2 linked regions of the Macaca fascicularis genome follow. The protein of the gene in region 1 binds, or shares a complex with, the protein of each later gene. Links are inferred from orthologs where the notes say so. Each region holds a gene or a part of one and is shown on either strand. Other genes may lie near its edges. The genes, in order: CTNNA1 and CDH26.

The links.
Region 2: CTNNA1 (region 1) and CDH26 share a complex: the UniProt entries of both Homo sapiens proteins name them as parts of the cadherin:catenin adhesion complex. The link is inferred for Macaca fascicularis from reciprocal best matches to the Homo sapiens genes CTNNA1 and CDH26.

The regions. Positions count from the first base shown.
Region 1 is NC_088380.1:145,425,302-145,429,117, reverse strand, and holds part of CTNNA1 (catenin alpha-1), read right to left. Parts: intron 3,599-3,816; coding exon 3,447-3,598; intron 1-3,446. UniProt on the Homo sapiens protein: Associates with the cytoplasmic domain of a variety of cadherins. The association of catenins to cadherins produces a complex which is linked to the actin filament network, and which seems to be of primary importance for cadherins cell-adhesion properties.
Region 2 is NC_088384.1:116,045,490-116,049,305, reverse strand, and holds part of CDH26 (cadherin-like protein 26), read right to left. Parts: intron 3,009-3,816; coding exon 2,866-3,008; intron 1,149-2,865; coding exon 909-1,148; intron 1-908. UniProt on the Homo sapiens protein: Cadherins are calcium-dependent cell adhesion proteins. They preferentially interact with themselves in a homophilic manner in connecting cells; cadherins may thus contribute to the sorting of heterogeneous cell types.

The sequences.
Region 1 (3,816 bases):
TGGAATCAATGCAACCTCCATCTCCCGGGTTCAAGTGATTCACCTGCCTCAGCCTCCGAGTGGCTGGGATTAGAGGCAACACGCCACCACGTCCGGCTAATTTTTGTATTTTTAGTAGAGACGGGATTCCACCATGCTGGCCAGGCTGCTCTTGAACTTCTGACCTCAGGTGATCCACCCCTGCCTTGGGCTCCCAAAATGCTGGGTGGGATTACAGGCGTGAACCACCGTGCCCGGCGACATAAGGTTTTTACTTCCTAATTTACTTCCCCAACACCTGTATTTTAAAGACAAAGATGAGAACTGTCCTGGATAGAAAAGGTACTGACTTAAAAATAGAGGTGTTTTGTATAGTATTAAGCAGATTTGTTTAACTTTCCTACTTTATGACAAAAAGAAAATTAAATAACTGAGCCTTCTGTTAGGGTACCAAGGCTGCTTGGAGGAGTAAAAATAGGCAATTTTAAAGTATTCTTTTGACTTTCATCAAAAGAAAAGAAGGGAGAATATGACAGGTAAGGGCTGAGTAAATACCCAAGGGACTGATTACTCGTCCTAGCTCTTTGCTTTAATTATGAAATAAAATTCTTATTTTGTACCAACTACCAGCCTCTCATGATTAGCTACTGACTTGAAACATAATGTTGTCCTCTGGCAGTTATCAGTAAGGGGGCAGCAGGCAGAACAGCTGGGGTTGGCGCTCGGCCCAGCCGGCTGGCCTGTGACAGGAGGGCAGTGAGGCGAGTCCCTCATCTGTACCAGGATCTAGTCCAAGCGCAGCCCAAGGACTTGCTGTGAGGTTCAAACAAGAAGATATGCAAGAAACATTCCGGAGCCACCAAGAGCGTGCTGCGCAAAGGCTGGGCCTGTCCCTTGATGAGGTAAGGAGTGGATGCTCACTCAGGTGGCACCAGACAGCATGTCCGCGTGAGGTCCTGGAGGCCGACGGACTTGGTGACACAAAACACAATGCCAGCACTGACGGTTTTAACACTGCAGTCACACATGCCTTCGGGACTGGCATGCAATCAGTTAAGGGGCTTTTCAAAGGACCACCTCCTAACATCATCTCTGCCTTCCCAGGACCCCATCGCAGACCCAAGAACCGTTCTTGCCAAGAAAACCGAGTACTCTCATTCATTCATTCATTCATTCATTCTCTCTCTGCCAAGCATTCTGGGCCCTAGAGATACAAAGTGACAGACAGATAAAAATTCCTCTCATGCCTATTCTAATGGAAGAAATGGCAACAAAGTAAGCAAATGAATTATATGACACATCAAAAGTGGCCAGTGTATAAAGAAAGCAGAGAGGAATAAAGCGAGGTTTTAACTCCATGCGGGTGTTAGGAAAAGTCTGATGAGAAGGTGCTCTCGAGGGGTAGGCGGGGCGGGCGGCAGCATTGAGGCTGTGGGGAAGGGGCGTTGGCCCAGGGAACTGCGTGAATAGCAAGGAGGCCACAGAAGGGGGGCTTAGCTCACTGCCCCTATGTCACCGGCTTGCCTGGAACCCCATGAGCACAAGGGGAGATCAGCAGGAGATGAGGTTGGAGAAGTGACAGGTTCTAGTCCTAGAAAGCCTTGTAGGCCAGCATAAAGAATGACGTGGCTGCCTGTAGAGAGGATGGCACAGAGGATAGCATGATCTGACTGAAGCTTAGAGAAATCGCTCTGGCTGCCCTGTGGCTCATGAGACTGTAGGCACCCAGGATTGGAACGGGGAACCAGCTGAGTGGCACCTGCATGAACCCGGGTGAGAGGTGCTGGCGGCTTGGACGAGGGTGAGAACATGTTCAGGTTCTCTACTGTGAAGGGAGAGCCAAAAGAATTCACAGATAAAGCGGATGTGGGGTATGGGACAAAAGGGAAATAAAAGATCCGAGGTCTGCGCATGAGCAAGGGAAGACGGAGTCACTATCAACATGTGCTGCCTGGGTGGAGCAAGTGAGAGGGAGGAGGCAAGGTGCACAGGCAAGTGTGGAACTTAGGAGAGTCGGCCTCTAGACAGGACTCTGAAGAGGCCAAGGACTTCCCAGCAGGCCACACCCATGTTTCACAGGCTGAGGAGATGGGGAGAAACCAGCCAAGGAGACTGAGTAGGGGTGTGGGTCAAGAGATTTTTTCCCCCTTAAAAATGGGAGAAATCATCATAGGCTTGGGGAAAGGTACAGAAGGCAGGGGGTGAAGAAGCTGGGACCCCAGTACAAGGACATGCAAGGGACGGCCTCAGCCAGAAGCACCAACAGCAATGCCCATAGTCCTAGGAGGAAGGCAGAGCACACAGGCATGGATGCAGCGGGGTGGCCGTACTAACTGCCTCAGTATCCTCAATGAAATCGGCAAGAGGGCCAAATAGCACAGGGGCACAGGTGTGGGTGGGTGGACGGGCACCTGTTGCAGGGCAGCAAGGGCCCACAAATGGCCGCGGCTTCTGCGGCTCCGTCGGCGTGGCTGTGGCCATCTGCACTGTGCTCAGGAGAGCAGGATCTTGCTAAGACTGCACCTTGCAAGGCAAGTGTAAGGAAACAGCTGGGCAGAGGAGTGAGAATATTCAACTATGGACTCAAAGCTGAAAAAAGACTGAACCAAGGACACAAGGGGCTGAGTGAGTGTCAAACAGGGAGGACCAACTGACTGAAGACCCCACAGTGGACTCAAAAGGCTCGCTGGGAGTTGCAGGACTCAAGGGCGCAACCTCAACAATAGAACCGGGCTGCTGGGAATGACAAAGACAATGGCAGGCAGTGACAAAAGCTGAGGTACGGCTATGGCCACGAGGCTGAGGTGGAGGAGGACAAGACATCAAGAAACTGAGATGCCCAGGGGCTGGAAGGATAATTCTTGAATGAAGACAGGAATAGTGTCAGAGAGCAGGACGGTAAGCCGGGAGCTCAACCACAGATGCCGCAGAGGCCCGTTTCTCCTCTGCCCTTGCTACAGGCCCTCCAGGCATTCTGGCTATGGGGAAAGGGGTTCAGCACTTGGCCATGAGCCTAGGAGCATCACCTGGGGCCACTTCTCCCCGCAACACCCTGGGGTTCCATCATCCTGTCTGCCTGCAGCCTCTCCGAAGAGAGGGGCACTCCATGTGAACAGTAACTTGAATCTGCATTACGAAAAGACTTCCTTCTCTGATACTAGCTTGAGAACCATTATTTTCTATAATTTCCTGCCTAACTCAAACTGAAGCCTCATGTTGTAGAGACTGTTTATCCTAAATTAAATCGTCAACTCAGGCTAGCTCCTCTTCTTGGCCCAAGTTTGGGCTCTAACTTGCAACTAACAGTCATTTTAGACAACATAATTAAATATATCTCATTCTAACAGATTTTAGATTCATGGTTTTAATATACTGCTACCGCATCTGCCGAGTTCTAGAATGACGCATTGCTCAAGTTTAGCAAATGATAAGAAAGAAGCTGTTAAGTCTGAAATGCAGTTACTCACCCTTATCATCAGCACTGCTTTCCTGATGTCCCGGATACCATCATATACCAGGCGGGAGGCATCGATAAACTCATTCTCATCCATTGGCTGGGCAGGGTCCGAGCTGAGGGCTTCCACGGCCGCCTCTACTTGCTCAGTAAAACGTGGCATGACTGTGGAGAAAGGGGCACAGCAGATGTCCTGGTATGCAGGCAGCATCATTCCCCTGACCCTCCCTGAATCACTCAGCTAGACAGAAAGAGGTGAGGCTTATGATGAAGAGCCTCTGCTTCTATCTATGTGAGGAGTATTTATGGTTGAAATAAATGCAGTATTTTACAACAACTCAACAACTCAAATCATCTTTTTCTCTGCAACAGAGGGATTGGAT
Region 2 (3,816 bases), on another chromosome or scaffold:
TGCTGCAGTCAGGGACGTTCACCTGAGCCTCAGGCTCCAGTGTCCTCCTGGGGCTTGGTCAGGCAACCTGGTGGGCCTCCCAGGTGGGTGGCCTCAGTCTCCAACCTCTCTGGTAGTCGACTGACACTATGTGACTAGAAGTCCCCAATCTAAATCACATTGCCCCTGTCTGGCTCAGCTCAAGACACCCAGGTAAAGAGATACCGGTATCAGACATGATATCCCAATAGAGATCACCCAGACCCCAAGGACAAAGACCAGACCTCTCTTTGGGCAAGGTGAAGTTCTTTACCATACACTCCAGGTCTGAGCTGAAACCGTGCCACAGTCTACAGATGCCATGGCTAGAGGCACAGAGGAGAGTGTTGACAGAGGGTGCCAGTTGCTTTTAACCTGCTCAGCAGGTTCATCTTCTGATAACAGTGCCCCAGTGTTTCTTTAGGGAAGCCCACACTTCCCAAATTCTCAGTATGAATCAGGAGAGGCTGAGCCCAGATCCCAACAAGGTCCAGGTGTGGGCTGGGAACCAGTCCATCAGCACGTCTGCCCTCCTAAGTCCCACCTACAGTGATTGACAGGGCAGCTGACCCAGGTCAAACTGTGACATCAATCCTGGAGCTTCCTGGGAAACACCCTTCTTGCCAGATGTTAGGATATGTCTCAGGGACTCCCAGCAGCCTCCTACCCCCTGATGAGGAGAGGTTCCTAAAAGTGAAGGAACCCAGAGAAAAGCAGACCGTGTGTGGGAAGGTGGCTTCCAGGGATATCCTTTGAGCACCTAGAGCCAGCTCTGCCAGAACAGACTTCTCTGGCTTTTTAAGCTAATAAAGTCCTTTTTTGCCTAAAACTGTTTCAATTGGATGTCTGTCATTTTCCACTCTTTGCCCGTGACCAGTACAAAAACTCACCCCAATTTTTCCCCAACTTCCATGTGTCCTCTGCGTTTCGCAGGGTGTTGTCCAATTCAAATGTAAATGGATCAGAGAAGGGCTCCAGGTCCGGATCCTCTGCCTCGATGTGGAGGGGCTGATGCACGGCAGACTCACAGACCTCCATGTAGCGGGAATGTGGCCGGAGAGTCGGGGCGTTGTCATTGATGTCAGACAGGAAGAGCATTAGGGTCCCTGTAGCAGTCTGCGGGGGGAAGCCTTGTACGGGGAGGAAGTTTCAGGAGTTGGTTATCTCGTGCACACAGAGCCCTGGAGAAGGAGCACTCTCCGTCTCTCAGAAAACAAATATTCCTGAAATACTAGAACTGTTTCCCTTTCAAATCATAACTCTCCTGGCATGCATGTGATGATCTATTTTCCTGCTTTTATGAACATTCAGAATATCTGGGTAAGGTAAGCTAATAAAGCACTTACCACCTCAAATCATTTGTAGAACAAGGTAGAATGTGGCATCATTAAACAAACAAAAGGTCGATCAATGGTGCCAGGCGTTAAGGATGGGTGGGGTGGAGGAAAATGGGTGTGACTAAAGAAGGGCCCCATGGGGGTCCCTGAGGAGAGGCAAATGCGCTGCATCTCTGCGTTGATGTCCTGGTTACGAGATTACACTGTAGTCCTGCAAGGTGTTGCCCCTGGGGGAGACTGGCAAAGGATACGCAGGATCCACTAGATTATTTCTTAAAACTGCAAGTGAATCTACAATTATCTAAAAGGACTTTTTCTAATTTAAAAAGTGGCAATCATCAATTCACAACTGCAAATATATGGAGCCAACCTAAGTGCCCATTGACCAATGAGTGGATAAAGACAATGTGGCATATGTATACTATGGAATACTACTCAGCCATAAAAAAGAATGAAATAATGTTTTTTTGCAGCAACTTGGATAGAGCTGGATGCCATTCTTCTAAGTGAATAACTCAGGAATAGAAAACCAAATACTGTATGTTCTCACTTGTAAGTGAGAGCTAAGCGAGTGATATAAGGAACTCTGGAGACTCAGAAGCAGGGGAGGAGGGAGCCAAGGGATAAGAAACCTCACACTGGATACAAAGTACACTACTCAGGTGACGAGTGCACTAAAATCTTAGACTTCACCACTGCATAATTCATCTACGTAACCAAAAACCACTTGTACCCCAAAAGCTTTTGAAATACGAAAAGCAAAAAATAAACAGAAAAAAAAAAGAGTACCCATTATAAAATCATCCATAACAGAATGAGGGAGCCCTGAAACACTGCCCCACTTTTTCTCCTCCCTTAATACTGATTAGGAATCCGTGTTTCCTATCTGCATTGCCCCCCACCCCCAATATTCCGCTAGTTAATTACAGAGTGGAACGTACAGCGACATATCACTTGGAGCTTGGGTTTTAGTTCACAGACTTTCTTAAATACAGTGTTAAAGTTATTTGAACATTTTTATTTCTTCAACTTTGTTTTGGTGTGTTTAAAGATTCAGCCTTAGGAGAGCGTAGAGAAAAGTGCTGAAACATGCTCATAAAACCTCCCATCCTGGTTGATGACAAATGTGTCCCTTACTGTCCCATTTACCTGAGCTCGTACGCCATCCCAAGCACAGGGAAGCTGTGCTAAATATCACACACCATCGGCTTTGACAAAGAGCTAAAGAGTTAGCTCATGAACAAATGAAAAAGATATTGGGTTTGATTGCAGCCTCCTTGCTGATTTAATTGTCTCTTCTGAATGAATACTGCCCTCTTTCGATGGTATTGGTCCCTTGTTTACCATTTCGAGAATTACTACCAAAAATAATCACCAGCATGGATGCAGAGTGATAACAAGGTTTATTTTATCCTTTTCTCAGCTGTGCTGAAAGACTCTCACCAGGATTACTTTCCCGCAGGAAGCAAGAATGAGCATTTTATTTTTCCAATTTTGGGTAAACACTCACCATCATCAACAGCGTGAACGATGATTATATAAAAACTGTCATTGACATGAGGGGATTCTCGGTCAATTGGCTCCACGGTGGTGACCACTCCGGAGTTTTCATCTACGCTGACCCAGTTTGCTGGGTCATGAACCCGTTTATATCTTGTAGAAGGAAAACGGATGGCAATTTTTAAAATTAAAAACTTACATCAAAAGATGTAAAAAGTTACATGAAAAAAACAAAATATGTCATAGAAACACTATTTCTACCACAAGTAATTTGAGAAATTCTAAGAGAAATTAAACTATGAGAGTGTTAAATTCACAAACGGAATGGAGGCGCGGGGAGGACAGCCTAAAGACGCTCCTAAGTCTGTGGAATCGACATTCACCGGAACACCAACTGTCCCCCTCCTTGTTGGACTGAACATGGTTTTGTCTGCCTTAGGGAAATGTTTCATCCTGGAAAGGAACCCATCTTCAGTTGCCTGTAGATGATGGTAGCTTAGTGTGAAAAACCAAACTGCCCTTGCAACAGAAGCCTAGGACTTTACCCCCGGTGTGTTCCCTTTGCAGAAGAGCCCCAGCGGTTCACAGGTGGGTAACCCTGTTCCTCAAAGTGGTCTTCTACATCCCCGTCACCTCTGTGAACCTGACACCGCTTTAAGGGGTGGGCCATGCCAAACCCTCCAGGATTCCTAAGAGCTGTCAGCCATCGTATGGCATCCTTTGCAACCTTACCAGGTTGCCAACCACAGCTACCTGCTGCGGCCCCACAGCAGGAACATCCTGGACTCAGGCAAACAACAACAACAAAAAGTACAGGTCCCAGAAAGGTGTGGAGAGGGGCAGTTTCTCCTTACGCTGTTCCTTCATCCTCTGGGCAAATGCTTTTCAAAGGGTCAGCAAGGATTCCTCTCTCATGTTGGGTGGGTCACAGTTTTTAAAGGGATTGAAGCTTTTTGTGCTC